Linked DNA regions of Lepisosteus oculatus. The protein of the gene in region 1 interacts with the protein of each later gene in a pairwise test. Links are inferred from orthologs where the notes say so. Each region holds a gene or a part of one and is shown in the gene's direction. Other genes may lie near its edges.

What was found.
Region 2: the proteins of pom121 (region 1) and homer protein homolog 3 interact in binary tests that used the Homo sapiens proteins (3 or more experiments, as listed by UniProt). The two-hybrid records come from large-scale screens. The link is inferred for Lepisosteus oculatus from reciprocal best matches to the Homo sapiens genes POM121 and HOMER3.
Region 3: the proteins of pom121 (region 1) and nfkbiab interact in binary tests that used the Homo sapiens proteins (3 or more experiments, as listed by UniProt). The two-hybrid records come from large-scale screens. The link is inferred for Lepisosteus oculatus from reciprocal best matches to the Homo sapiens genes POM121 and NFKBIA.
Region 4: the proteins of pom121 (region 1) and RNA-binding protein with multiple splicing interact in binary tests that used the Homo sapiens proteins (3 or more experiments, as listed by UniProt). The two-hybrid records come from large-scale screens. The link is inferred for Lepisosteus oculatus from reciprocal best matches to the Homo sapiens genes POM121 and RBPMS.

What each region holds. Positions count from the first base shown.
Region 1 is NC_090721.1:492,929-499,958, reverse strand, and holds the start of pom121 (nuclear envelope pore membrane protein POM 121), read left to right. Parts: upstream 1-4,009; 5' UTR 4,010-4,675; coding exon 4,676-5,226; intron 5,227-5,637; coding exon 5,638-5,853; intron 5,854-6,685; coding exon 6,686-6,853; intron 6,854-7,030. Other genes in the region: hip1 (huntingtin-interacting protein 1), read right to left, coding at 611-727. UniProt on the Homo sapiens protein: Essential component of the nuclear pore complex (NPC). The repeat-containing domain may be involved in anchoring components of the pore complex to the pore membrane. When overexpressed in cells induces the formation of cytoplasmic annulate lamellae (AL).
Region 2 is NC_090724.1:3,910,820-3,918,378, forward strand, and holds the start of homer protein homolog 3, read left to right. Parts: upstream 1-4,552; 5' UTR 4,553-5,113; coding exon of another isoform or gene 5,114-5,118; intron 5,119-5,495; exon of another isoform or gene 5,496-5,707; intron 5,708-6,994; 5' UTR 6,995-7,021; coding exon 7,022-7,044; intron 7,045-7,559. UniProt on the Homo sapiens protein: Postsynaptic density scaffolding protein. Binds and cross-links cytoplasmic regions of GRM1, GRM5, ITPR1, DNM3, RYR1, RYR2, SHANK1 and SHANK3.
Region 3 is NC_090703.1:3,280,531-3,288,008, forward strand, and holds the start of nfkbiab (nuclear factor of kappa light polypeptide gene enhancer in B-cells inhibitor, alpha b), read left to right. Parts: upstream 1-4,478; 5' UTR 4,479-4,543; coding exon 4,544-4,782; intron 4,783-5,398; coding exon 5,399-5,504; intron 5,505-5,657; coding exon 5,658-5,865; intron 5,866-6,110; coding exon 6,111-6,199; intron 6,200-6,416; coding exon 6,417-6,674; intron 6,675-6,949; coding exon 6,950-6,982; 3' UTR 6,983-7,478. UniProt on the Homo sapiens protein: Inhibits the activity of dimeric NF-kappa-B/REL complexes by trapping REL (RELA/p65 and NFKB1/p50) dimers in the cytoplasm by masking their nuclear localization signals.
Region 4 is NC_090696.1:69,305,166-69,312,540, reverse strand, and holds the start of RNA-binding protein with multiple splicing, read left to right. Parts: upstream 1-4,364; 5' UTR 4,365-4,829; coding exon 4,830-4,892; intron 4,893-7,375.

The sequences.
Region 1 (7,030 bases):
GGATCGTGAATAACTAACTCGCCAACATCCCGGTCCGTGCGCTTACTTGTAAATCAGCCCTTCAAGCCGCTCTGACAGCTAATCGCTACGGCCAGCTGACGGATCTCACAAGAACAGGTTAGAAGTCGTCAGGAACAGATATCGGAACTGACAGCAGCCGAGGAAAGGCGACGGCCCGTTCTCACACGGTCACTTGAGGCGAGTTTCGACAAAATCAAGCCGTATTGGTCCGAACCGAGGGCTCTGCCCGGACGCGCCCGCTCCCCCAGGACCGCTTTCGCGAGTGGCAGGCGGGGTCACCTGAATTTCCACGCCGGTCCGAGGCGCGACAGAGCACGACGCCGGGCCGGAGGGGCAGGGCCGGAGGGGCAGAGCCGGGGGGGGCGGGGGGGCCCCGCTACGTCACTCCCCGGCTCGTGCCCCGCGAGAGCCGCTCGAGACCGGCTCGAGACCCGCTCGCGGACGCCCGCCGCGCCGCCTTTCCCCGGTTGGGACTGGGACGGCTGGGAAATCGCGCTGGGAACCTGCCGGCCCTCGCAGGAGGCTGCCCTGCCTTTTCCTCAGGACCCGTTACACGGAGGACCGCAAGCCCCCCGGGCGCCGCTCCTACCTGGCTGCGCTCGAAGCTCTCCCGCTCCGCGTCCAGGCTGCTGGCGCCCGCCCGGCGGCTCAGCACCTTGGGGATGGGGTTGGGGACCTGCTGTATGGAGCTCTTCACCCGGTCCATCGCGGCGGGCGGCGAGGACGGAGTGCTGTTTTAGAATAGCACGACCAGGCAGTGAGGGAAACGTCCAAGCGCCCCGACGAAGTTTCTTCGCCACTCTGTAGTTCACAACTCTCCGCCCCGGGAGCTGCCTTCCAGCCTGCCTGCCGAACACCCCCAGCTCGCCGAGGCGCACCCGGCGCAGGCCCCGCCCACACTGAAAACCTGGCGATGTGATTGGCTAGTTTAATACAGTGGCCCACCCATTGCTCGTATTTCCGGCTTCTTCTTGGGCGGTCTCGGCGTCAATCTTAGTTTAGCCCCGCCTCTGGGATGATCGGAATGTCCATCGCTATAGTCCCGCCCAGAACCCCCCTCCCCCTTTTACGACACCCGTTCTTCCTGACGTCCAATTGGTCAATTTCCACATCAATCACCCAGCTACCCCGCCTTCCAGAGCTCAAATCTTTTACCTGATTGGTTGTTGACCCAGTTAGTCACTTGCGTCTGGGGGAAAAAAAAACATTGGGGAACCATGTCTCATTGCAGTCTTAGGTTAGTAAGAGCTCTACTCAATAACATCCCCAAATTGTGCAGAATGTTCTATAAGTATTTTAGATAAAATGTGGGATTCTCTGTACGTTTCGGTAGGTTTCCAGTAGGGGAAAACTGCTCCCTAATGGCGTGGCGCGTTGTTGTCACGCCCTTATCCATGACTTTGTTTACATTGCCAGAGTTTGTGTACCGGCTGTAGATGCGGGTCCGTTACCGAGACCGGAGGCACTGTCAGTCTGACACGCTGGACACGGGCCTGTGTCCCGACACACCCCCTGGCGGCACCAGCACATCACTCAGTTCAATACCCAACACGGCTCTCGGCGGAGTCACCCAAACACGACCCAGTCTTTATTGTACCGAGCATATTCCTGTTCGCTGCGTCATCTTAAGCATCGCTGATCCCGCAACGGTGAGGGTGATCTTTAAATTGAAATGCTATCCGTCCTGATTGCGTTTCCTGGTCGGGCGAGGGAAGGACACTGATGGAGACAGTTAAAAATAGTCGCACGGTATGCTCCGGAACTCATTCCAGAATCCACTTGAGACTTTTTTGCAGGATTCTGTACTGTGTATATAACCATGTTTTATGAATCAGGTCGCTGTCAAACAGTTTTGCATCAGTTGTGAAACTTTCATTTCCGTTCCAAGTTTTTTTTTTCCTTTCTTTTCAGTTTTTTCCCCCTTTTCTATGGTCTGTAAAAGTTTCCTCCTGTATTTGTCTAGAGTGGCCCAGGAAGGCGCTGCTTTCTGGGACTGAACCTGGCGGGTCCTGGACTGGTCCTGGACGGCGCCTGAGCCGGCCGGGTCCTGGACTGAACTCACCCCGGAGTCCTAGCGGGGAGCGCGGGAGGTGTGTCCGTTGGCCTTCGGGGAGATGGCGAGAGGACGAAGGAGGGGTGGGCAGTGCGAGGTCGCGGGGCAGAGACAGGGCGCGCTCAGGGGAAGCGGCCGGCTGAGGAAGTGAGGTGTCCCCTCAGAATTTCACAGCTGGCTGACAGAGAGCCTCTCACATCCTCCCTCCCTCCCTCCTGGCGGCTGGCCACGGGCCCACAGCCGTCCACACGCCCCCCCACCCAGGAATCCCGGAATCCCAGCACCTGCTCCGACTCCACCCCCATCCCACCCTGTGAGTGTCCACTGTTCTCCTGGTCCTTCAGCCCCCTTCACACTGGGCTTTAGTGTAGCCCTGTGGTGGCCCCCCAGCCTGCATTGTGCTTGACCGTACCTCTGTGCCTCGCACTGTTCACACCGTGCTTCACCGGGCTGTACTACTGTACGGCTTTACTTCTTACAGGTGAACCAAATTGCGTCTCCTTGCACAATAAAGCAGAGGAAACGTTCTGTTTATCCGTCTTTCACTTTTCCAGAGTGGAGTCATCTTCTACACGTTCAACTGCCCACTCCAGCCTCCAGCGCAAAAAAAGCCTTTTGACAAACAAAACCTTTTTGTCCTCACAAAAGCACATCTAGGGCTCTTCAGTAGCTGGAACCTTTTCCTCCCCTCGGGACAGAACAATCATTTCAGCACCGTCGTTCTGCAGCAGGCCTGTGAAAGGTCCCGCACGAGAGCTCTGGAAATCCTGCGGGATTACAGAACAAAAACCTTCAAACACTGAACCCAGAAGGATTGTTTGCCCATTACAAGCATTCAGGGTATGTACAGGAGTCCCAGAGGATATGGCTCCCCAAGTCCTAAGAGTTTCATTTTTCAGGACTGTCTTGTAGGTGAAGTTATGGGAGTTCCCAGTGCCCACACTCGCACTTCTCTCTAGCACGTTGAAGGAAGAAGGGAACGTTTTATTGTCCCATTAGAGGACAGCTGTCCATGTCACTGAGCCACTATACAACCCAGTTCAATGAGAATGATTTGTCAAAATACAGTGCAGCGTAAGGAAACATGGATACTGTTAAAGTTTGTTTTTGTCTGGAACGCAAATTCTCCTTCTGAATTAAGAAAACGTAAGAGCATTGCAATTAAGGCGAGTTGAACTGCTTAGGATTTCTACAGCAAACGTTTAATTTGGAGTCCTGTGGATGTGAATGTGCTGCTAGTGAATTTGATCCTTTTTGCTCAAAAACACTTCTGCCAGTAATTAATCTCCCATTTCCAGTCATACTCCTGGCTGCGTCCCAGGGCCCGAAGGAGAGAAAGTGAGACAGTGCTATCTGCTGCCTCCCCTCCAGCCATAATAAATCAGTGTCTTTGTTAGATCACAGCCCAGTGAGAGAGCACCGTACTGCAGTATTTCAATGTGTTAAGCTCCTTTAACATAGCTCTCAGGCCATGCTTTGGCCCCATGAGCACTAGTAGGGGGCCTGCTTACTTCAATTAACATGTAATCATCCCAGATTAGTGCTAAATCCTGGTCTGTGAAACTGCAACTCACTGCTCCTTACAGTATAAAGGCAGACTAAAGTCCACATAACAGTTCTCAGGTTTGCTGTGGTCCAGCAAACAGAATAGTTCTGCATCAAACCAGTGTATTATCTGGACCCAGATCTCTCTCAATGAGAAGAAATGAAATTCACATTTTCTGAGGCTGTAAATTTAACTTATCTCAATCGACTGACAGAAATGTGGGATATGCATGATAAAGTTAAGCAGTATCCTGGTAATTCCCGGGGCAAAAAGTTTCCCTTTGGAAGTAAGGTTACATGTTTTTTTTTGTGTTTGTAAACGCTTTTCCTGACACTCCACTTTACAGGTAATGGGGATCCCCTCCACCACCAGTGTGCAGCCCCACCTGGATGATGCGCCAGTACTCTCACACACAGCAGCTCTCGGTGAGGAGGAGAGCAGAGTGATGGAGCCAGTTCAGAGATGGGGATAATTAGGAGGATTGGTAAGGGCCAATGGGAAATTTGGCCAGGACACTGGGGTAACACCCGTAATCTTTTCGAGAAACGCCCTGGGATTTTTAATGACCACAGTCAGGACCTCGGTTTTACGTCTCATCCGATGGTCGGGGTCTTTTTACACTCGAGTGTCCTCGTCACTGCTGGCATAAAATATGAGTTTCACCCTGATCACACCTGATTCTCTTGAAAGTTATAATTCTAATCAGGGAAATTGCATCCTACAATCGTGCTGTTGCCACAATGCTTTGTAGTGCATCTGTCATGCGTGGTAGTACTGCTGCACCACGCAGTGAGAACACATGAAAACACTTTCTATGGTGCTGCGGTAAAAGTTCAAGAGGAATCCCAATATAAATAACCGACTTGACGGTGAATCGGCCGACGTGCAAACCCGCTTCGTCGGTTTAGGTGACTGTGGACAGAGGTCAGCCCCTGACCGGGCACAGGCCGGCTCCCGGCGCCTCTCCTGCCCGCCGAGCGAGACCGGCCCCCCCGCGCGCCCCGCGCCCGGCAGGATTATGGGATATTAAAGTCCTCCGGCGGCGCGCTGCCGCCATGTCTCCCAGAGAGAAGCGGCGGATCGCGCTGATCTCTGTGGCGCTCCTGGCTGTCGCGATTTTCTGTTTCGCTCTTTATTACATACCGACTTTCCTTTACGTCTTGTTCATCCTTGGAGTGTGCACTGTCGCCTGCTTCTGCCACGCCGGCGGCCCGTCCCAACACACCAGGCTCGGCCCTCAGCCTCGGCCTGCCCTGGCCATCCCGCCGGCGCTCAGACGCTGGTTGCCGGGCAAGACCGCGAACGGCGTGCCCTCGGCGGGCCGGGTCAGCTCCCGGGGCCACCAGGGCCGCCCCGGCAAAGGCGAGCTTGGGGATTCGGCGGCGCCCAGAGGCGAGCGGCGCTGGGAGGTCCGGGGCGCTTTTCAGAAGGAGGCAGAAGGCGGCGGCAACGGCTCGTTTGTGTTCAGCCCCCGGGACCTGCTGATGGGGAGCTACCTCAGTAAGGCGGACAGCCCCGGAGCCGGCGGGGCGAGCAGGGAGCTCCGGGAGAGGCTGGCTCGGCCCAACCATGCCGTGCACACCCCCAACAGGAGACTGTCATTCGGGTAAGACCCAGCCGGGCGAAGCGGCTCAACCTCTGTGCTTTGCTACTGCGGAGAGTGAGACGGCGCTGTGATTAAAATAAATCGGGTTTGTTCCTAAGTGCTACAGCGCCGGTCTGCTCGCCTCTGTTTAAAGCCAGCGGCGGGGTTTCCCTCCAAGATTTGAAAATGTGGGAGTTGCTGCTTCGCCGCGGTCCGGCCTCTCCGGGGGGGCTCGGCTGTCGGACCGGGCCGGCTTGGTGCAGCAGGGCTGGAGATGAAGTGCCCCGAGATGTTTGGGCAGCTGGAGCCCTAGGGGGGGGGCTCCGCGACCGGATAGGAAGTGGGCTGACCCGGACGGGCCGGACGCAGACGCTGGCGGGAGGTGCGAGCTGCGTGCGGTCCGGTGACGGTCTGTCGCTCTGTGTGCTGCAGGGACAGCCTGGGCGCGGCGGGCCGCTTCAGCATCACCCCCCAGCGGCACTACCCCCTTCAGCAGCCGGGCTGCCCCTCGCTGGGGCCGCTGCCCCCCGTGCAGTGGGACGGCTGCCGCAGGAAGAACGTCCTGACGCCACGCAACTCCCCGGCGGCGCGCAGCCCCGTGACGGTGAAGATCGCCCGGCCGGAACCCAGCCGGACCCGCTCCCCTCTGTGAGTATGGGCCTCTCCGGCGCCAGAGCCACTGCTGCCACGTGCTGTCCTGATCGTGGCCCTCTGTCCATTGTCATCCCATACAGTTCAGAGTTGCGGGGGAGCTGGGGTCTGTCCCTCCCTGTCTATACTCCCCTTCGCCACAGGACACGCTCGCTCTGCCCCCCTCGCACGCACGCTCGCTCTGCCCCCCTCGCACGCACGCTCGCTCTGCCCCCCTCGCACGCACGCACGCTCTGCCCCCCTCGCACGCACGCTCGCTCTGCCCCCCTCGCACGCACGCTCGCTCTGCCCCCCTCGCACGCACGCTCGCTCTGCCCCCCTCGCACGCACGCACGCACGCTCGCTCTGCCCCCCTCGCACGCACGCACGCACGCTCGCTCTGCCCCCCTCGCACGCACGCACGCACGCTCGCTCTGCCCCCCTCGCACGCACGCACGCACGCTCGCTCTGCCCCCCTCGCACGCACGCTCGCTCTGCCCCCCTCGCACGCACGCACGCACGCTCGCTCTGCCCCCCTCGCACGCACGCACGCACGCTCGCTCTGCCCCCCTCGCACGCACGCACGCACGCTCGCTCTGCCCCCCTCGCACGCACGCACGCACGCTCGCTCTGCCCCCCTCGCACGCTCGCACACACGCTCGCTCGCTCTGCCCCCCTCGCACGCTCGCACACACGCTCGCTCGCTCTGCCCCCCTCGCACGCACGCCAGGGCCATTTTTCCCAGAAGCCAGTTTACCACCAGCAGGAAACCCACATGAAACACACAAACTCGCACAAACCAGGTCCAGAAGGGTCTCCCCTTCTCACACTGTTTCTGGACTGGCTGCAGGTTTGACCGGCTGTCCTCTCCGCTGACCGCGCTGGCTCCTGGGCTGGGGGCCTCGGTGGACCCCTGCTCGAAAGAAGCCGTCCTGACCGCGCTGAAGGAGGGGCGCAAGAGAGAGGTGGAGGAGGAGGAGGGAAGGAGCTGCAGTGAGGGACAAGAGAGCAAGAGAAGGTGTGTGCGGTTTTCGTCCACACCCGTGACTGTCTGACAGGACTGCAGCTCTTCATGTTGCTGTCTCTCATTCTTTCATTCCATTGTTAACAGTCTCGGCCATTTTCTCCACCAGTAAACAGTTGTCTTCAAGTCGTGATGCCCTTGTGTGGAGTGCCCGGGAGGTGTTGTGTTTGG
Region 2 (7,559 bases), on another chromosome or scaffold:
CGTGTTGTCGAACCCCGGGCGCACGTCTTCTACGTGACGGTGACGTCACGCCACGCTGTCTTACGGAAGACGTGCAGCCGGGGTTAAAGGTGAATTAGCTTCATTGCTCTGTTATCCTTCCCACTGATGGCTGCTGTGTGGGGTCTGTGAAGTGTTTTGAGTGGAGTGCTGTATAAATGTAAGGAATTATTTGGTTTGTAATTGTAAACAGACTAAGTTTAATTTTCATTCTTCTTATAGAAGTAGTAAACACTGCATAAAATCTTTTTAGCAAAGCATGCAGTGACTAATAACGTTGATTGATCATTGGATAATAACACCCCCAATCAATTTTTAGTAGTCGTGAGTGGTACTCAAAATACTTTCAACATATGTATAAAATAGGTATGTTTTTCAGAGTTTATGTTTAGTAATCTAATACATCTGACTGCTTAATTAAAAGTGATTTTTATTCTGGGAAAAGTAAAATCTGGACGCATTTGTAATCAATAGAGGGCAGCAAAGGATTTAAATGAGAGAAAATGTTGTTTGCCTTACTGGCATTTTAAAGATTATGAGCTGTCCTGGAAAATGGGTTTTGTAGGGGTGGTGAATGCGCAAACAGCACATTTTGCATATCAACCGTTTCTCAGTCATCCAGAATTAACAAACTTTTCTTTATGTTGTAAACTTGTAATTGCAGGGAACGTATTTTAAAGCATCACCTGTAAATACTGCTGCCAGGCCTCTGTCACGGTCAGTGCTATTAAACTAAAAAGGCTTTTTGGAGCCACTCCATGCATTGTGTAGAACTGCAAAATGTAACTTTTTACTTCTCAAGAAATTATAACAGTACTGGACACGTTTTTCATGATAAAAAGCCAAATGTTAAGGATGTGTTAAGGGACAGATAGACATGCTAGTAATCTTCACTATTACGTTTCGAGAATGTTACTGAAAAGTAGGAATTCATAGTTAAAAAAAGCAAAAATCGTTTAAGAAGCTTGTATGAAACAAAGCAATACTGCTATCTCCTCAACCCCGCCTTCATTATAAACACACCTCTGCCCTGCCTAATAAGGAGGTGGGAGGGGCAACGTGTTAGAAGGTGTGTCGACCTATAGCGGTCTGATTGGAGGACGTTTAGGGAGGGGCGTGGTCACTCGATCCCAAATCCTGTCTGAAACTCATTTCCTCCATTCTCGGAGACAGAGACTGTTAATCATATCTTTCTCCGCCTGTACTGATCTACTAAAATTACATTTTACTTCTGGCTACAAGGGAAAAAATCTTTGAACAGGAAAATAAAACCGCAGTTGGTTGACAGCTGTTGTTTATCCTTTGAGAATAAACTATAGATTTCCCTTTCGTTCGTTTTCTTTTTTTAATTGAACGCCGATTACGCCTCGTTTAGAGGGGCTAAAGGGGATTTATTCCGAGCATTGTTTAGGAAAGTACAGCGAGCAAATTCGCCGGTGTTTATTACAGTATACTGCAGCACGTTTGAAAAGCTCTACGCTGAATCGGAGGTTCCCTGAGGAGCGAAAGAACAGCTGTTACAACACTCACAATACAAACAACGAATGGCATTTTTACAGTGTTTTCTCAAGAGTATATAATGACTGAGTTCAAATCTAGGGCATTAACTCAAGTACTGCCACCTTCAGAGAGGAAAATAGAACATCAGCATAGAATACCACGCTAAATACACTACATATATTTGTCTGCTTCTGTATTATTAATCTATATTTCACACGGATAATGCTATTTTCTTTTCAAGATTCCTTCAGCATGGTGATGTGAACAATCGGGGTACCTTTCCATCATGTGGACTCACGCTGCGCTTCTGTCACGAAACCAGTCTTTACAGCGCAGTCAAGTCACAGGCTAGTGTGAGAGAGATCTCACCAGCTCTCATCATAAGTGGGGACATCTGTGCAACACTGTTTTTTTCTTGTCAGGTGGTTTAAGGACACAACATGTTGAGAAAAATCAGTTTTTATTTAATCCGTTAGAAAGACAGGTTTATAGTGAGACACACAGCATTATCCCCAGACCTGGATACAGCCAGTTTTCATAGCTGCTGGAGAATAGGGACTTTTTTAATGCCTGCATGTGGCACTTTCCCTGCCTGTCTGGTATGATATTTGCAGTCAGAAAATTTACTGTCACCGAGTCTTGGGAAAGCCAGGAATAAATCTCAAAATGGAGGGATTGAGCCAGACTCCTGGCTAATACAGTGTCTACTTGGGATTGATGTTCACATGTTATGCTTAATGCTATGAGACCCAGTTAGTTTGCAGTGGAATATTAATGGAAAACAGTGATTCAGTATGTATGATCAGGTCAGTCTGAAACTGGTATTTAGTTATATAGCACAAGTTGTAGAGAGCACATGTGAGTGTCCTTTCACATTAATTATATTTTAATTTGGTGTTTCCAACTCTTTGTCCTATTAACCTGTTGTTCAAACCAAACAACAAGAAAGACAAGCTTCTGAAAAGACTTGACAGTGTTAACTGAGAAAAAAGGGGATGTGAAAAATACCAAAAGAAGCTGAATTTGGCAATTTGTGCACCATCAGTGTCTTAGGATTTCACTTATATATTTGGCTTCAAGTTTTACAGAACACAGTTGTGTATACGGATAGATCACTTCAAAGTAGATCAAACACTCCCTTAGTAAACCAGAAGAAGCATATTGTGGGGGATTTTTATCTGGTCATCTTCCACTTTAATGGCAGGCTTTGGACTTGCCATGTTTCCGAAGTCTGACGGGCAGCTTGGTTGAATGGAGCTGCCGTGTGGGTTTGGGGGTGTCGGAGTCCCGAATGGGGGGCCGGCAGCACCGGCACATAGAAGACGAATGAAATCACCCGCAGAGCCGGGGGGCTTGAAGAAAGAGGGGCGTTCTCGCTTTCCTCCGGTCGCGTCAGCTGCTCTGCTGTCTGAGGATGAGCAATGGGTTTCATATTGGCCTCTTTAAAGCGGGAGATAAGAACAGAGTCTGTGATTCCTGTTAACGCTTCATGTCAAAGGATCCTAAAGCACTTTCCATTTAGGAGGGGATCCACTTCATCGACACATGGGAGCCCCTCTGCACCAGCAAGCCCACTAACCAGCAGATCAGGAGCAGACGTGAGCTGAGTTAAGAGAGAGCTCTAGATTGTGCGAGCCTGGGCATTTGAAGAATTTAAGCATCACACCAGTTACCCACTCAAAAAGTGCCATATGATCTCTTGGGATCAAGCTGTCAGTATCATGGTTTAACATCACAACCAAACGAAGGCACCTCCTATCTCAGTCACTGTACCGAGACATTGGTTTAGAAATTCTGACGGAGCAAAGAGCGCCACCTACCGGTCCACCAGCACCACTTGCAGTGGCAACAACCCGATTTCCTTGGAGGCTTTCTATCCCAGGCCCAGCCTCGATTAGCTCCTGAGATCTGATGGGATCAGGTGACACAGTGTCTGCTAACATCTCTGATCACAATTCACTCTAAAACAGGGCAGATCTGAATTCATTTAATTGTACAGCAATGAGCTGGGACATGAAGGGTCAATACCTGAGCTGACTTACCATCTGCTGTGTGGAGCTCAGTTTGACATTTCACATCCAAAGCAGTGCCTCTTACAGCATGCCCCCTTCATTAACTGCATATTGGCTTGAGTTTTTGTATTTTCTGTTTCAGTCCTCTCTTTCTTGTTTCCATTACTGACCTTACAGAGCTTCTGAGATCTGACAGGATCTTACACCAATGCAGGACAGCTGCTCATCTGGATATAAAAGACATCACCAAGGTGACACACATTCATTAAAGCCAAGTGGAAAGAAATCCGCACACAGAGTCACTATGGAGGAAAATAAATGCCTATTTAGGAATCCACTGCTCTCAGCAGTGTCTGTGCTGCCAGCTCTAGTTTATAAGGTGTAATACACTATTTCTTGATATATGCTCTTAACTGAGATGAGTTACTACTGCATTACTCTTAGCTTTGATATCCACATCCCATTGACAAGATATCTGAGGTGCACAATAATCAGAGTTGTGCTACAGAGTGTTGTGCTACAGACACAGAAAGGACTACTTTCTGCTATGACACTGATACAGCGAAGTCCAAGAGTTTTAAAACTTCTGTAATAGTATCCTATATGAGTCCATATATGTAATGTTTTCATCTGCAAGTTAAGTCCCCAAAGAAACTGAAATCAGTGGTGCACAGCTCCATTCCTGGCACGTCGCAGTGTCTCCAGATTCTATCCCACTCTGCTCTGAATGACCTAATTGGCCTAATCGTTAGTTTCACTGGACCAGTTTAACTCTTTTCGAAGATCTACCGAGGATTTAAAACGACCCAGAAAACCTGCTGGATTCTGGACACTAGAGGAATGGAATGGTGCACCTGTGGTTTAAATAAATGACAGCTCTTTAACAAAGGGAGCGGGGGCGTTCAGACCCGCAGAAAGCACAGAGGGGAGTTTTTTAAAAACAGAACACTAGGTTCGACAGCTTTAAGCGATGTGTCATTCCGCGTGTAACCAGCAGGTGGCGAACAAGATGGTTTAAAACCTAACTGGAGCAAGAACTGCCATCCAGAATGGGATTGTGGCAGCGTTCTCAGGACTGGAAGACACCATGAGCCCGCAGAAAAGTAGAGCTAGCCCGAAGGTTTGACAGTCGTCATTAAACAAACGCAAGAATAAACTCGTTTGTAGACTATTGCAACGCGGGAAGCTGAAATACAGAACATGAGTGTTAAATCATATGGTTAGCGGAGTGCAGAACGAGGAGAAAGAGGAACTTGGCAGTACAGACTCTGAGAGACAAAAGGACTGCAGTACAGGACGAAGCACCTTCCGAACTTGCAAATACAACGTTTGAGAACATTTTTTTTCCTTCTGAAAAGACTCATAATTGGCGATTCTTGCACAGCTTGATTCCGGGGGGCAAGCACAGCCAAGAACTCATCCCTCTTTTCATGCAGTGAAATTCCGGTGGAAATTTAAGAAGCATCCGGATCCGTAGACAAAAGAACGGGAAAGCCTGACAAAAAACCCTCTCATGACCAGCTAGAAAACGGGGCTGCACAGCATTGACATAAAAACAAAATCTACACAGGAGTAAAAACGAAATGGGGTGAGTTATGTTGTTATTATTTTTTAAAACTTAAAAAAAAAAATGTTGTTAATAGCAGAATGAGGGAAAAGTTAAGGATGGCGCTACATTGACCACATTGCTTCTATGTGGATATTTATAAATAAACTGATGTTTAAGAACATAGCCTCCTTCCAGTGTCTCTTCGCGGATTGACGAATACCAGCAATGCACGGAGAGTATCAGTTCATATTTGTTTTCCTCGCATTGGATGAATTTCTTTTGGGAGGGAAAAGTGCTTTTCTATGAGCTAGCTTCAGAACGTATCTTGACACGTTGCCCTTGGCGGCGTTTACGAAAGCATTCGTCTCGTGTTGCTGGATTAGTCTTTAAAAACCGCTGCGACAGTGGCTGGGTCTGATTTTTTACTTTCTTTAAACGCAAACAAACTTTGAAGCAGGACAGTCATGCTGTGGCTGTCAGTGGCGGAGCCCCCCCTTGATTTTACCGGTATGAAACTAATAAACGAAGTGCTAAAATGAAAATCTGGGACCTGTGCATGCTTTTAAATAATTACCCCCTCCCCCCAGCGCCAGACCTAAGCACATACTGTATGCAGTTAACGGGGCATGTAAGTATGGATCATTTATTTCGAAATATACGCTTTAAATCGGGGAAGCTAGTAAAATGTAGGAGGGATAAGGGAACAGGATTTAAAAGCAGCATAAAGGTTGGAGGAACGCCCTCCTACTATGTTGCAAGACAGCTGAAAAACCTACAGTATTTATGTCGCCCTCAAGTTATTCTGCTTAAGTGCTTTAAAAGAAACCTCTGTTGGGAAAACTTCGCGTCTTCAGAGCGTGGGAACACAGAGCTGAACATTCATATTTAATGAAACACAACTCGGGCGCAGAACCTTCACGCCAGGTGACATGACTGGAAAGACACTTGAGCGAGAACGTTCGCCAGCAGAAAGCCTGAGAGCTCCGCTGTGACCTTTCGCGGTCTCCAGGATTCCACGGGAGACAGTTCTGCGTGGGTTGCCCTGTCCTGTCGCGAGAGTTTTCGTCTATTAAAGCCACGTGGCAGAGACGATTTCGCCGTGCTGTTCGGAAGCATCGTGTTGCGTTCTAAAGTAACGATACCATCGGCGATTAGTAACATTTAATAGTAGCAGCGAATTGTGTAATTGGATCATAGGTGTTGTTACAATGTACAAAAGTGAGACAGTATTGGAAAGGATCTTTCGTGACAACTTGCATGTAATTGCACGGATATGTGGAGTAAATGTGCTCCGTCCACACACACACACCCGGCTTGATATAAGTAGGTTCACTTTCTTGTGCACTTTCTGTAAAACACGGGTGGGTGTGATTAGTCACGCACTGGAGCAACACAGTGGGACTCCTCTTGTGTTGCCTTTATGCCAAAGGAAAATTCTCCAGTTAGGACCAGCGCTCTTAAATAAAGAGAAGTTTCACCTAATCAGACGATCTTCTGAAATTCTCTGAAAATGTTTTCAGTAGCTGCATCAGGTGTCGTCTCTATTGTTCCTGAAGTTGGTTAGGGTGGAATAAGAAATAAGGTTCATGCCCTGGTATTGACTTGGACACTTCTTCTGAGTGGCTCTGTATGCTCTAGAGCAGAGCTGAAACACTATTCTCTGCTCTCTATCAGATATTGGCATGAAAATCTGGAGAATTTCTATAACCGCCTTCCCGCATGTGTTGTCCTATTGTTTGTGTCTTGCTGGGTATTACTAGGTTGTAATCAGTGACCAGATATTGCTGTAGAAAATGTTCTTTCGCTGTGACCTTGTCTGTCTGCAGCTGCTGCTGGTTATCCAGCTTTCTGATGGAGTTGCATGCTCTTATCCTGTCACTTACACCTTTTTTCCCCTTTTCTCTTTCTGCTGTAGAAAAGGAGCTCTTCCTAGCCTGTAACAATGTATCCACTACACAGAGAAAGGTACTAGTAACGTCCTTCGTGTGTGTTGTGTGTTGTGTGTGTGCGTGCCTCTGTGCTCAGTCAGGTAGTTGCAGGCTGTCCTGCCTGGGAGGTTGGGGTTGGGTGGGGTATTTCAATAAACACATCTTGAAAAGGAAGGTCCTTTAACTTCTGCTCTCCAAAGAACCCCAGTGTGTATTACCCAGGGGTTGTGGTCAGTTGTGATTCATATCCTGGGAAAAAGTTTGCAATAGTCACTTCGTTATGACCTACATTATTTAGTGACTGGTTCTACGGATGGCATTGCAATTACTCGTCTGCAATGGAACAGACCACAATAAAAAACTGTAGAGCAGTTGATCGTGGACATTATGCCAAGTAAATAGTTTATAACCAGTGGGTTTATTTAACATGAGTTCTGTGGCAGAAAGGCCATTGGACACTAATATATGGCTCCAGTGTTGTCTCTTATAGTGGCTGGCAGGAAACTGTCAAGCCCCTTGTGACTTTTATTGAGACGATTTTCTCTGATACAG
Region 3 (7,478 bases), on another chromosome or scaffold:
GCTACTAATAGCCATATATTCCGTAACAGGAATGACAATTAATTATGTATATAAAATATAAGAAATGTAACCTACAGTACATACTAAACATTTGCCCAAAAGTAGAGTTTTCACATCATTTAAAGAAGCTCAGATTATCTGCAAGAAATCCAGGCTTGGATTTGTAAACTCTACAAGTCTAACCTGTGACTTTGGATGTTTCAGCTCAAACACCCATCAAACAACAGCCAAATGTGCTGTGAGAACCTGTGAACTTCAAGCGCAGACATCGATAGTACTAAGACATCAGGACTAGCCATGGTGTCTGCAGATCTCCGTCTCGCAGAGGAGTTTCCCGGTGTCATGGTGTAACGAGCGTAAAGACTGATCCATGATGAGACATGAAATGCCTAGCAGCTATTTAAACAGCTATTTTGTTGAATTTGTGTGTTGAATCAATGTCCTCTGTTCTCTGTGCAGTGCTGCATGTTCACCACTGCTGGACTCGTAGCCCCTGGCTTTTCATCCGGCTCCTCCAGAGCTGCACACTGGGCCCTGATGTCCAGCAGTGCTTATTGCATGGGCTCTCTTGGATCATGGATCAATGGGCGCTTTTCTGTAAGAAAATATCTTTGTCCTCCTTGATGTTAAAGCCGTTTCGAGACACATCAGCAAGAGAACATTGCCATTTACCTGTTTCCTTTAGCAAAGCTCATCTGTGTTCAAAATGTAATTAATGCATTTTGTCCCTTCGTTTCGTTCAGGAGCCAATAGCTTCATACAGAGATGTTCCTGCACATTGTAAAGTGCACTGCAGCTTTCCCATAGACAGCTCCAGCCCAGCTGTCCCAGGAATCACTATATCAGACCGCAGAATAAAACCCTGGGCGGGTAATTTCACAAACCGTACACATCTAGTCAGCTGCATCACCCACTCGCTGGGCGCACGGCTAATTTCTTGCTTAATCGCGGCAGTATGGCCTTGCGTGGATTTGCATCCCAGCCCTGGCTCTGACTCACAGCAGTGTCTGCCCCACCCAGTGGGTGTGCTCCCGCCAGGCCCCAGGAGCTGCTGGGAGCCGGAGCTCGGAGGCCCAGCTGGAACGCCAGTTCCCACAGGCTGCAGCCCCTGGGCTCAGGCCCTGCGCGGAGCCGTCCTGCCTGGAAGCTCCAGCTGCAGGGATTCCCCGGACTCTCCCACTGCGGGAATGTCAGCCACCTCAGCGCGGGGAAGTGGGAGGCCGTTTGGCAAGAGGACGCCTGGCGCTAACAGATGAGGATAGGAAAGAACTACGCATTTTAAAGCAGCTTCGAAAAAACAACAACTGTCCCTCAGTGAAAGAGTTCATTGCAGTTGAACTGAGTTTTGCAGCAAAACGCCGAAGCAGCACAGAAATTCAGTACACATGGACTCAGCTGACTGACGGTCCTGCTAGGACACGGCAGCTTTCAGGCGTAACCCACCTCACAGCTTCCTCCAGGGAAAGAGACAGAGAGTGGGGGCGGTCAATCTTTCCACCCTCTCAAAAGGTGGTGAGCTATCTGAGAAGGTATTAAGGCACCTGCAAAGCAGCAGCAGAGACGTCCTGCTGTGTCCGGTACAGCATTGCCACGGCCTGTTTAAAAACTCATCTGCCATTCACACCCACAGAGGTCAACGTAAGGATGTACTGTATAATTTCCATCAGGCTTTTCTTTAGTCCCCTTCTCACCTTTACAGGAGGCAAAAGCCGTAGTTTAATCGTGTTAAGAAAGTGACAGGCCTGTCTGCTTCGGTGGTCAGTATGCGCTTTGCTGCAGTGATGCCGCGCCACAGAGCTGTGTCCAAGCGTTGTATAACTGACAACACGGGTATCTGAACCAGAGGGGCGTCGTCCCACCATCAAAAACAGAGGTCTGGTCTTTTATTTTCATTCGGCTTGTTCTGTGACAGAGATGTGGCACTGGAGAGTATGCCACTAGGGAAGTATTAAGAAGCATGACTTTATTAAATTAAGTGATTTGGAGGCACTTTGACCTTGCGAAAAACCTTCAGTGTGGTGTAAAAATAAAATAAAATGCAGACTACAAAGGCTTGAAAACAATGCTCGAGGATACAAAACAACAGCATGGCCCGACGACAATACTTGTGAAAAAGTGCCTATGTGGCGAAAACTAATAAAGAAATGAAGGAATGGATTATTCGGATTAAAAGTCTGCTTTTGGAATAGAGCCGTTTATCAAAGGCAGTGCTCACACTGGCTTATTATTATTATTATTATTATTATTATTATTATTATTATTATTATTATAGTTTCTGACAGTTTTTAGTCTACACGCTATAAAAACCAGCATTTCACTGAGGCGAAAGCTGTTGCTGTCTCTTGGCCGCCAGGGGGGGCTGTGGAGTTGAAGAAGGACTCGCGCTTCGATACCGTTGCTATGCTGCGGTTGCTATGTTTGTAAAATTCATTGTACTAATGCAGTACAGTGTTTTGCAAACAGAAAATGTCCGGGGTTACTCATCTCATGTCACAGGTGAAGCCTCGATCAGGTGGAGTTTCCCACAGCCGTAATTCTGGAATGGATGCTTTCATTCAGAAAAAAATATATAAGAAACTGAAAAGTTTTTTTTTAACCATAGCAATAGTGACCTAATTAAAGTGTGGTGCTTTTTTAAAACAGAGGAAAAGATAAATGTACGTCATACCGCACACATAAAATTGTCTCAATCCAGAAACACTACAGCAGCGCAACCAATCGTTATGCAAAGTTATAACTCATAAGCTCTTCTCTCCTGTACCTGGATTCTGTCGTTGTCTTCCCGTACATTACAAAAAAAACAGTTAACTACTTTTGCAAAGATTTGTTTTTCCTGCAGTGTTAACGGCTATGCATGCATTAGATCGCAATGTCGGGATTTTCATGAACACATTCTGAGTTTTTTGGGGAAGAGTACATCTTCAAGGGGTTTCAGGCTGTTAAGAGGGTTTCTCCATGAGGAAAGTCCAGGTTTTTCTTTGCTTGGTAACTTATTGTTTGAAGCACGAGCATGATCAGAAGATTTTTATTTACAAATTCCCATCTCCGCTACAAAACAACAGAATACCAAGAGAATTTTTTCAAATGTTTTCTGCCGTCTGGTGCTTTTCTTTTCTCAAGAAACAAAATTCCTGTGTGGGAAAAGTCTTTGTCAGACATGTCTAGCACTTTATATTTAAAAAGCACCGTGCAATGTTCAATTTCCCACATGCAAAATAATTGAATCGTACCTCGAAGGTTAATAAAAAAAACACACACTCTTAAAACCGTACCCAACAATAAAATAGCTGGGGTATAGCCTTCCAATACTATCAATAACACATGTCCTCAAACAGAGTACTGTATAAGAGTATATATATATTATTTAAATTTTCAAATTAATATTTAGGGGCAACCCCACCTATTGGCTGAAGTCCCCCAGCCTGTGCAGGAGTAAAACGCCCTCGGCTCGAACCGTGGGTTATTTCCCCCAGAAAAAAACCCAACCCTCCCAGGCGCTGTTGTCCGATATTCAGTGGGACTCTGAACTCGAGTGGAAGTGAATCTTTCCCAAACGAACCTCCTAAATTGAGTTCCCATTTCCATCACGTATTTTCTCTCTTTCTCAAATGCTCCCCGTTTCTATCTGAACATGGAAACCCGTGCCGGCACCCAGATCCCCTTTATTTTATTTGGCCGATACCGTCCATATCTACACAGACGGGGTGCACAGTGCCGAATGTAAAATACTGTAGCTTCACCGTGAAAATAGTCGTGTGCGGGTTTAAAAGAACAGCGCTCACCTGCAACGTACTTACAATACAATGCAGGTTTTGTTTTTTTGGGGGGGGGAGCTCAGCATTTGTAAAACTCCTTTTCAAAAAGACTTTTGTTTTCTCTGGCTTACAGAACACTTCCCTGCTTCAGGGTTCATCATGGTCCAGGACCCTGTTTTTATTTAACATTTTAAGTTCTGACTGCAACGACTTCCCAAGCTACAGTAACATAAAACGGCTGGATTTGTTTTTAAAAAAATATACATATAGCTGTTGTTAAAGCAATGCAAAGCAATTCGGAAATTATTTGTGAATCCCTAAATGTCCCATCTCGCGTACTTATTCGGAAGCCTGCCTGGAGATCGATGTCGTACAATATCGTGCAAACCAAACGTGATTTTAAAGAAACTTAAAACTCTCTCATGCGTGGGGAAGGGTTAAAAACTACCGACCCCTTCTCTACAAATAACATTTTAGAAGCCCTCACGACTCCGCAGCGCGGGAACTTATAGTGTAAAATCGAGGTTATATTGATAGGAAACTACAAATTTTCATTCTTACTAAACGGACTGATCTGGGGGGGAATTTTCCCCATAAAAAACCCTTGTTGAGTTTCCCCAGCTGCTAACAATGTTCTCACAAGGCTGCCTCGCCAGTCACTGGAAATCCCCGGCTGCCTGTTGCTCCGCCCTTGCTCGCCTGGCTTATATTGGACGGGCTCTGCGCCGACACTCATTTTGAGCTCAGAGCTAGAGAGAGGACTGTCGGAGGCGCGACTCAAGATCAAAATGGAAGCTATTAATGGTAACCAGGGATATTACAACATGGAGGATCGGGATCTGAAGCATGGGAAACATTTGCAATGCCAGGACGAGAGGCTAGACAGCGGGTTGGATTCTTTGAAAGAGGAGGAATATCAAGAAATCCTGCAGGACATGGAAAACCTGAGGGTGAATCCCACGGAGGCCAACCGGAATGACTTCCACAACGACCCGTGGAAACTGCAGAGGACGGAGGACGGAGACACGTAAGTTGAATTTGTTGACCGCGGAGGACCCGCGCGTTACGAAATAACGAGGAAAGAAGGGCGCTTAGTACGAGTGCATGAGCTGGGGTTTGATCGAAAACGGCGTGGCTTGTAACAAGCATATGCCGTGCTTTTACAGAAGAATCAAGAAGTGTTCAGATAGAAACGACACCATAAGCGGGGGGGGGGTTCGTACTCGGAAACAAAATGACCATCGCGCACCAGAGCACGCAGGTCTGCAGGGAGTCGGGCGGCACAGACAAAAAGGGTGCATGCGAGAAACTTTTTTTTTTTTTAAAGAGTTCAAAAAAACCTTCGGTCTTTGAGGCGAGAAGGCGCTGGGCGTTAGTCGGAGGGGTTGACGTAAACAGCGGGGCTCGGAGTCCTCTGCGCCTCGCAGGGGCGGCGGCGGAAAGTCCCTGGCGCGGCGCCAGCGGCGGGGCGCTCATGTGTCAGGACCTCGCTAGTGGAAATTACCACCGAAAACCCAGGCTTGCGCAACACGCAAGTGCTGCTTCAAGCACTTCCCTCCCTCCCCCCCCCCCCCCATCGGCCTCCTTTCCAGTCCCTCCAGAAACCGTGTAACTGAATGGATTCTCATCTTCTTTTCCTCCAGGTTGCTCCACCTGGCTGTTATTCACGAGGCCGCGGACTGCGCCCTGCAGATTATCGAGCGCTGCCGCGGTGACCCGTTCCTCAACGTCCAGAACAACCAGAGACAGGTAATTTCCAGCAGAAGGGATGTTTTTGTCTAGTTCCCTTTAGTGGGGAGGAATTGTTAATGGGGGTTTTTTTTTTCCTTCAGATTTTAATGTGCAGTGAAGACGTTGATGAGCATGGATTGACATTCCTCTTCCTTTCTCTTATCCAAATAGACGGCTCTCCACCTGGCCGTGATAATGGAGCAGCCCCAGGTTGTGGAGAGGCTGCTGACCGCTGGCTGCGACCCCAGGCTGACGGATGACTGTGGAAACACGGCCCTGCACATCGCCTGTAAGAAGGGCTCTCTGCACTGCTTCAGCGTGCTGACCCAGGGCAGCACACAGCACCTGCCCTACATCTTCAACACCACCAACTACAACGGTAGGTAACCGTTGGCATTCGTCGTGCAGTGATGCCCTTTATTAATGTTATTAATGTTAACTCGGAGTCAGCTGGCTTTGGTAAAAATAAAGACTCTGAGCTGGAAATCGCCAACATTGACGCCAGAAACAGAAGGCCTGGTGCCGATGTTGAATATCTGGAAAGATCGGAGGATCAGCCCCACTACCACGCTGAACCATGGTGGCCTGTCACTGACCAGCTTGCTCTTCCTTCTCCTTTTCCAGGACATTACTGCCTCCACTTGGCCTCCATCCACGGCTATCTTTCGCTGGTGGAGAACCTCATTCAGCTGGGTGCCGATATCAATGTGCAGGTAGGTTTGTGCTCTGCCTTGTTGGGCAATTCCTCGGGGTTCGAAGGGGCATATCGTGAGAGGCTGGGTGGTACACTTGAGCATCTTTTCTGGAACACGTCTTCCAGTCCACCATTAGAGCCTTGAGTTTTAGCGGGGACTTTGCTGTGAGATTGTGCTTCCGCTGGCTCTGGAGAGCGTGTGGCCTGTCTGACGTGAGCTCGCCCTGTCCTCGCAGGAGCAGTGCAACGGCCGGACCGCCCTGCACCTGGCTGTGGACCTGCAGAACCTGCCCCTGGTGCAGCTCCTCGTCGCCAAGGGGGCCGACGTCAACAGCCTCACCTACGGGGGCCACACGCCGTACCACCTGACCTACGGCCGGCAGAACGCGGAGATCCAGCGACACCTGTACGCCCTGACCGCGCAGGACCTGCGGGAGCTCCCGGAGAGCGAGGCGGAGGAGAGCGACGACGAGCCTCTGTACGAGGAAGATGACGTAAGTGTCCGCGCTGTCCCAGTCCTTGGCTGAACCGGGTGGGGGTGGGGTGTTGACGCATGAGGCACTCGACTGAAGCAGGAGCAGGAATTAACGTGACACTAGTTGTCATCAGCTCTGATTGGATGTGTCGAGAGCCGTGGGTGGTCACTGGTTTCCTTTCAGGAAGCTAGACGTGGCGGTTCTCTTACCTCTGCAGAAAAGTGTGTGTGGGAGGGGGTTCTTGACTCCTGCGGGCCCCAGAGCCTAACCTGCTCCTTTGCTTTCCCCTCCAGATGTACGACGACATTCAGCTGGTGCGGCAGTAGTGCTCGGGCCCGGGAGCCTCGCGCTCTGCTGGAGGAGCAGAGGAGAACACAGCCGCTGGCAGGTCCCAGAGCCTGCCCTGGCCGGCAGCCAGTGCCAGCAGGAGCACTGGCCAGACTCCGTGTCGCCGGGCCGAGGGCGTGGGAAGTGTTTGTGGAGAGGAAGGGCGGGGCACAGGGGAGCTGGACAGACAGGCTTTGGAACTGATCAACACTGTGAGCCCAGGGAGGATTGCACTGGGACCCAGACAACCAGTTCACTGCACACAGAACCTGTACTGGACCTGAATTTCCAAAGGACTCTGACTCGGTCTTCACAACCCGGAATTTCTGCAAGCTGTACACCTTGGAGTGTAAATATGTAAATGATGTACTATACAGAGAAATCTATTTTTTTTGAATGAACTCTTTTCAAATAAGTTTCTTGAAGTAAATGAAATGTTATTATACATGAACACTATCGAGTGTGTGAGTATCTTGTATGTTTTAAGTACTAACT
Region 4 (7,375 bases), on another chromosome or scaffold:
CGTCATTCTAGGACTCATCTTCTCATCTTATTATTAATCTTCCTATTCTTCATCTTTTGCGCTTTCTGCATCTTCTACATTTGGTCATCTTTTGCAGAATAGGCATCAATATGGGTGCATCAATAAGGTTATGTAGCAGGTGAGTATTGGGAATGGAAAATGGTACATCCTTTATCTTATACAAATCATCATCTGGAGCAAAAGGATTTTATTCTTGTGGTAATCTAATAATGAAGAAGGGAGCATCTGGTTTAATGCTAATGAAGTTCAATTGCCATTTACTGTACTGGAAATTATCCCTCTAGATTGTTGCCAGCCTCTGTCTCTGTAGAATTTTGTAGGCTTGTAATCCAAGGGAATATAAATTACCAGCCATATACCTAAGAACAAGGATGGAGTGAAAACTATCATATTACAGATCAAATGATGGGGACTGTGCCAACATGTGGGTCCTCTTTCCCTCCCCTTAGAGATCAGGACTGTAAGAATATTCAATCACTACAAATGACACAGAACCTTTGGAAATTTCTCCACACATTTTCTAAGGTCCTGAGACATACTATGTCATGATCAGAATCCCTCCTCTTAAGGGCGCTCCGGCCCTTTCGTATTTTAGTAGATTATGTGCACCTGCCCTCTGTTTGTCCCTCCTTATTTAAGCCGGGCGCTCTCGCTACTCCTGGCTCTGCATTGGAAGACAGATGCCTGGAGAACCACTTACCATCAAGTTGTCCTACGTCCACGGCTTGAAGGCGTAGGCTTCCTAACGGTGTCCTGACCAAGCTGAGTCCGGGGCTCGGAGCACCCGGCCTCGTTATCCAGTTTTTATCTTCCTGGTTCCCTGACCCTCTCCCTGTTCTAGATCCCTTTCCGAATTTTAACTGTGTTTGTTTTGTCCTGGATGGATTCCCGTTTTGGAATTTGGACTGCGCCCCGGATTCCCCCATTTGGACTTCCCTGAACCTGTTTGCCATCGCCACGCCCCCACGAGCAATGGATCACCGTAGTCACACCCTCCTGTCTGTCATCCCGTCTTGATCCTCTTCGTCTCCTCCACCAGATGTCCTTCTCCAGTTCCAGATTATACCGTCTGCATAGGGTCCTGAACTATGCTTCACGGGAACTTTGACGGGCTCCCGTTACATACTCTACACTGATTCTGAACACACAATAATCTACACCTGGCCTACAGTACCATGTCAGAAATGCTGTTTGAATTCAGTACTGCTGTTGCTTGATCAGATAACTCTGATCAGATTACTTAAGCAAGTCCTATCTTTTCCAAATCCATAGTAGTTATCCTTTAGAATCCTAGTGCTTTACAGGTAATCCTCTATTTTATTTGTATTTATTATCATCATAATCTTACATGTCATAAACATAGGCTTTATTGGATTAGATTATGGCACATAACTGAACCAATTTGAAAGAACAAGAAGCAAATCAAGAGCATTGAAGAGAGTTCACAAAGACTTGACCCAAAAGCTCGAAGAAGCTGTATTGGCCTCATTAGTCACATTCAGAGCCAAAGACGACAACCATCCTTACTTGCAAGGGAAAGCCAATGAAAATAAAAGAAGGAATGTTTCACATGATTATCTCTGAGAAAACTGTTTTCCTGTTTTTTTTGTTTTTTCTTTTTACCAAACTGTACTTTTTAATAATTTAATCAATTCTTTCATAGTCCTCATATTTTACTTAATTGATTATTTAACCTAGAATGTTTTTTGGGTCAAACTCAGAAATGTAGTTTCTAACTAATAAATCCACTCCATGTGTTTTTGTTCAAATTTAAAGCAAAAGCTGTACCTTCATAAAGCTCGTAACTTCCTGTAAAGAAAGCAAAGGAGGTTCATATCAGGATTATTGTTATTTTTTAAAATGCCATTCAAAGTCTCAGAGAAATCTTTTTGAGAAGCCTCCTTTTGAAGTTAGAAAGAGTTAAAAGGCAAGGTAGCATTTTGCACTTACCTGCTCTAGGATTGCAGGGACAATAAACAAGTGTAAACCCATGTTGTTGTTTTATCTTGCAAATATGATTAAAACCCAGTGAGTTGTAAAAGCTGTAACTGTATCTCTTCTCTTTCCTGTTATATTTTTCATTTCTTGCTGTCCGTCTTTTTACAGATAGTGTTAGTTGAATGGACTGGCTGGAGGGGAATTCCAGTCTCATAAATTGCCAAGTTATCTGGTTTTCACTGATCTGCATAACCTTAAATATGTAGCAAGCTTATCTAGTCAAATGCCTCAACTGTCCAAACACACTTCAATAGTTATGTTCCTCGTCGGTAGTCAAACTACCTCTACAAAATGAGATGCAGTAAAAATGACCAAACTCTACATCCGTACTACTTCCAACACATAAGAGTAGGCTCTGTGTGCGTCCATTACTACTGTTGGTTGTTAAAATAACTGTAACTAGTCAAGCAAGAAATAAGTTTTCTAAATCCATGTTAAACATCCACTAGAACCCACAATTATACAGCTAATCAACTAGTTTTGTTTGGATGACTCTAACTTTACAACTTTTAAAAGCTTTATCAGATCTTCCAGTTCTTTGCTATGGAACATGGGCCAGCATTTGCCATACAGGTGTTAAAGGCATTGGAGATGATAATATGAACTGGTGACGGAGTACATTGAAACATGTAGTCAAACGTATTTCAATTATACCCTCACTCAATAAGGAGGGTAGCTGGTAGTTTTTGTGGGTCCATTGATCAACTCTCTGATCCCTGATCTTGAGTCACAATTTCCTTCTGGTCTGAGGGATTCGGTTGTCTTGTAGCAGATTTCACACACGTTCACTGTGTGTGTTCACACCAAGAATCTCCCACACATTAGTTTCATACAGTATGTGTTTACTAAGTGTGTTTAAACTAAGACCAGTCTGGCATCACTTTTAGTGTATTCTAGCTGAGCATACCACTGCATTTGTGCATTTAGAATGCCACTTGCTCTCTAGAGCACTGTGGAGTTTCTGGTGGGTCAAATGTCCGTGACAGATGGGTGTGTTGGAGGTGTATATACAGAATTACCATCCATTTCCTAACTGCTTCTTCCAATTCAGGGTCGTGGGGGAGCCAGAGCCTATTCTGGCAAGCAACAGGAGCTAAGCAGGGTTCACCCTGGATAGGACACCAGTGCTTTGCAGAATAGACAGACACACGCACATTCACATCAGGACCAATTTTCACAGAAGCCAGTTAACCTAATGGTATGTGTCTGGACTGTGGTAGGAAACCTGTGCATCCAGAGGAAAGCAATGCAAACATGGGGAAAACACACAAACTCCATAGAAATAGCAGATAGGTCTGGAATTTATCCCAGAGCCACAACAGTGCAAGGCAGATATGCTAACTACTGTGCCGCTGTACTGCCTTCAGTATATCCTGCAAATTGGATGAATATAAAACAAGAAATGTCGATTGTAGTTTTAATTATATATGAGTCCTATGGATTTAAAATATATATATATGGACCATCATTGCAAAGTGCAATCTACTTTACAAGAAAACCAAAAGATAAGCGTATACAGGACCAAAATGTAGTGTACATAGACATGCCTGGTACTGTATCTCCTTTGACAGCAATCAGCTGATGAGCTGTTTCCAAAGATAAAAAAAGCAGGTAAAAACGAAAAGGTGAAGCCTACAAAGAAAAAGAAAACTTTTGTAGAAAGTATTAAGCATAGTGATCATTGTATCAACTTTGGCCTTTCACAGTTTGAAAATCTTGGCATCATTTAAGTAAGACTGAATAAAGTTGCAAGTAGCTCCAAGACAAACTATTGACTTAAAGATCCTGAATGAAGACTGCTTGGACAGAGCTATACACGATATCTCAGCCACCCAATTATTATTCAATTAAATGTCAAGGGGGATTTGAAGGAAGTTGTTCCTGCCAGGAAGCCTATGCACTTTAAACTGCCTGCATCAAACAAAGGAGAAAAAAATCAAGAGACAATATCAACAACTGACTTCCTCCGTATTACATACAGTATTCCTTATTTTGCATAATGTATGCTGGTGAGCGAAAGCTGTTTCTGTCTTTTAAATGTAGTTTAGGCGCATAAAAATTTCTTTAAAATTAGAACTAAAACACATTTTAAGACCCGTGTTCATTGTTTAGTATCTATATGCCTACTTGAAGTGCGTATCACAACTGATCAATAATCGTTTTGTATCGGGGTATAAGAAAGATTGCGCTGATACAGCTACATGAAAAATACCCCCAAAAAACCTTCTTGCTGGTTCTCGCTCTCTTTCTTAGCATATCTTTTTCAGCCTGAAGCGCTCTTCTGTTTCGTATCCTTATTATCAAGTTGCGTTTTTAGAAACATTCCTAATGGCTTAAGTGGAACACAACATACAGTACGACCTGCCCCCTGTTTCTCTGTACCCAGCCTCCCAATGAGAGAAAGCTTACTTCTGTCGGGATCTGTCTGACGTTCTGGCCATACCAGCAACAAAAGAGAAATGATCAGGTTTTCTTCACACAGCAGTCAAAGTGGAGTATTCTGGAGACCTAGGAATTGGAGTTCATAGGCGTCTTCCCGGAGTAACAGCCTGAAGTGAAACTGGCAGGATTCCCTGGCACCCAGACTCTGAGACCCTAGTCGTTTCTTGATCTTGGTTTCCTCGTTGTTTTTGGCTTTCTGGTTTCCATTCAACGCCGAAGGTCTTTGATGTTGACTAATTGAAGAGATTAGCATTCTTCAATTTCTGGACTGTATACTGAGGGTCTAATCTGCCTCCTGGATATCAACTGTACTGACAGCTGGATCCTTAAAAAAAAGCTTACATAAACTTGAATTCGGGCTTTACAAAATGAACAGCAGCAAAACTGAAAAAGAGAACGAGTTAAATGAATATAACAGCCAAGAAGAAGAGGTAACATTTGTATTTCAATTCCTTCTATTCGCGACATATTACCATTTTTCCATATAAAATAGATCCCGGATAAATCCCGTGAGAAAACTTTTAATACATTTTGTTACTTCCAAGTGTCTTAAGGTTTGTAAGACGTATTAATAGTACATACAGTGTGCACTCGGGCTTTAAAGCTGATGCACTCGAGATCAAGTACTTCGTGTACCCTTTTCGAAACCGAGCTACTGGATGTTGACTTTGAGAAGTTTTGGTCCCGAAATTGTGAATGGAGACGCGTATGTTGCTCTCATTTAACTGGATTGGTAGTTGATCCAATACTAAAGCACCCACTAATCCATTCATCAAATCACTGTATACAATATATGATTAATTAAATCGTATAATATATTGAAAACAACCAGTGCAGCATCGTTTTAACAAAGAGTTCGCCTGTTTTCGACCAAAGAAATGTGTGTTAATCTTAACCTCACTATTAACAATCAACATTTTTTAAACCAAATGTTATTACATTTTGCAGGCGTACGCGTTTGCATATTAAATGTTTGATCGTATATGAACGCTGAACTAGATAATGTATTTCCAATAGTTTTTTATTGCCAATATCGAACCGCTATTTCTAATATTTATAATGTACTTCATTCAATACTATGTCTATTGTTCAAAAAAATCTTTCGTCGTAAAGTTAGTTTTATACTGTATAAAGGTTTTTCAGTTTTCTTTACGTACCCATGTGAATACATAAATCGCCAAGTTTATAAACATATTTAGAATTCATCAAATAAAATTCATCATCAGCACATGATGATATTAATGACTGGTGTAACTGGTTTACCAGTTTTTATTATTGGAAATTAATGCTTACTTGAAGTTGTTAACAAGTGCATTTCAGAAAAGCAGATATAGAAATTAAGTTATTTTTTTCTAAATTGGGGTTGCAGTAGTATTTGTGTGTAGGTTAAAGGGTGATTAAAGTGTGTTGCTTCTATTCAGAGACTGCTGTGACACTGCAGAGACAAGCTGTGTTTGGGTGCGCGCATAGAAAAAAGACGCGATAAAGGGTCACATTCATGAGTCATGTGCGTAGTTCATAAATCAGTTGATTCAACGACGGCTGCCTTCTTTAACACCTCCACCTTCAAAGACATATTCATTGTCAGATATCATTTAAAAAAGTATGACAATGAGTGTAAATAACATGCTTCTTCTATACTGTAACTATGGAATGATGTCCTAATGTCAGTGCACACAACAGCAATCTCATTGCCTTCAACTCCTCAGATTGGAGACTGCAGACCATCTTCTGAGGCCATAGTCTGCTAAGGTCATGGTTTCGGAGATGGAAGAGGCTGGAGACATTTTTTAGGACATGGAATCAGTTTGTTCGTATTCTGGAGTGTCCTAATAACCCATTTAGTTCTGATGCTAACATAACTTCTATCTGATTAATTTCTTTGGACTATACTGTATGTCAATGCAGACATCACAGATGTATGTTCTCATAATTGAATCTTCATACGCCAAGACCGCAGGTGGTTCATTTAGACAGATGTTGAACAACAAAGGAGGTTGTACATTCCCCTTATGGGAATGGGACAGTTGGGAATGGTTGCACTTTCTCCAGAACATAGAGTTTACAAGTGAGGTAGTGGTTTCCCATTCATTTACTGTGCTAAAAGGTTCACAATCAACCATTTGCTAATTGCTAGACAAGATTAGACATTCAGGTACCTCAGGTGCCTCATTTTAAAAGGATTCGCACATTTAGTGTACTTACAAAATCAACAACACGGAGAGCATCTTCAGTCAGTCTGAATCTGAGCCTGAAAATGCAGTGTAATCCACAGACATGTTTATACTGACGATCGTGGAGATCGAGAACAATTTCATCAACAATATTAATGACGCTGACTTTGCAAGTGAATTTTATGAAATGGTTTGATGGGGTTATTAAATAATTAAGGTATTTGCCAAGTGGCCTTCCTTAAAACCCAGAGGGGATTTGTTTGAAACCCCACAAAAACTGAACATCCATAGAAGTAAGAGTATACTAAGAAGGAACAAGCGATAACAGTTTTTATTCATCAAAGTGCCAGTCGCAAATATCACATTTATTAGTCGATTTAGAACACAGATGCACATTGTGTTAGACTTGCAATATCCCAGAAGCTGAGATATTGAATCCCAAAAATGAATAACATTTTTCATATTCTAACAATGTCAGTAGGCAGTATTTTTAGATTGTCTCTGTATTTTTTAATTTGTTCTTAGTGAATATTTGTTCTTAGTGAAAACATATATTAGTGAATATTATTAAAATTCAAAACTATAGTAACTTATCAGTAACAAAGAAATGAAGCATACACTTAAAAGTCATGAAATACATATTTTTCAGACAACTAAATTGTTACTCAGTTTTGTTTTAATAAAAATGTACCCTGAACAATAAATATACTTAATAAAGAAATACATGTGATTCCATGTTC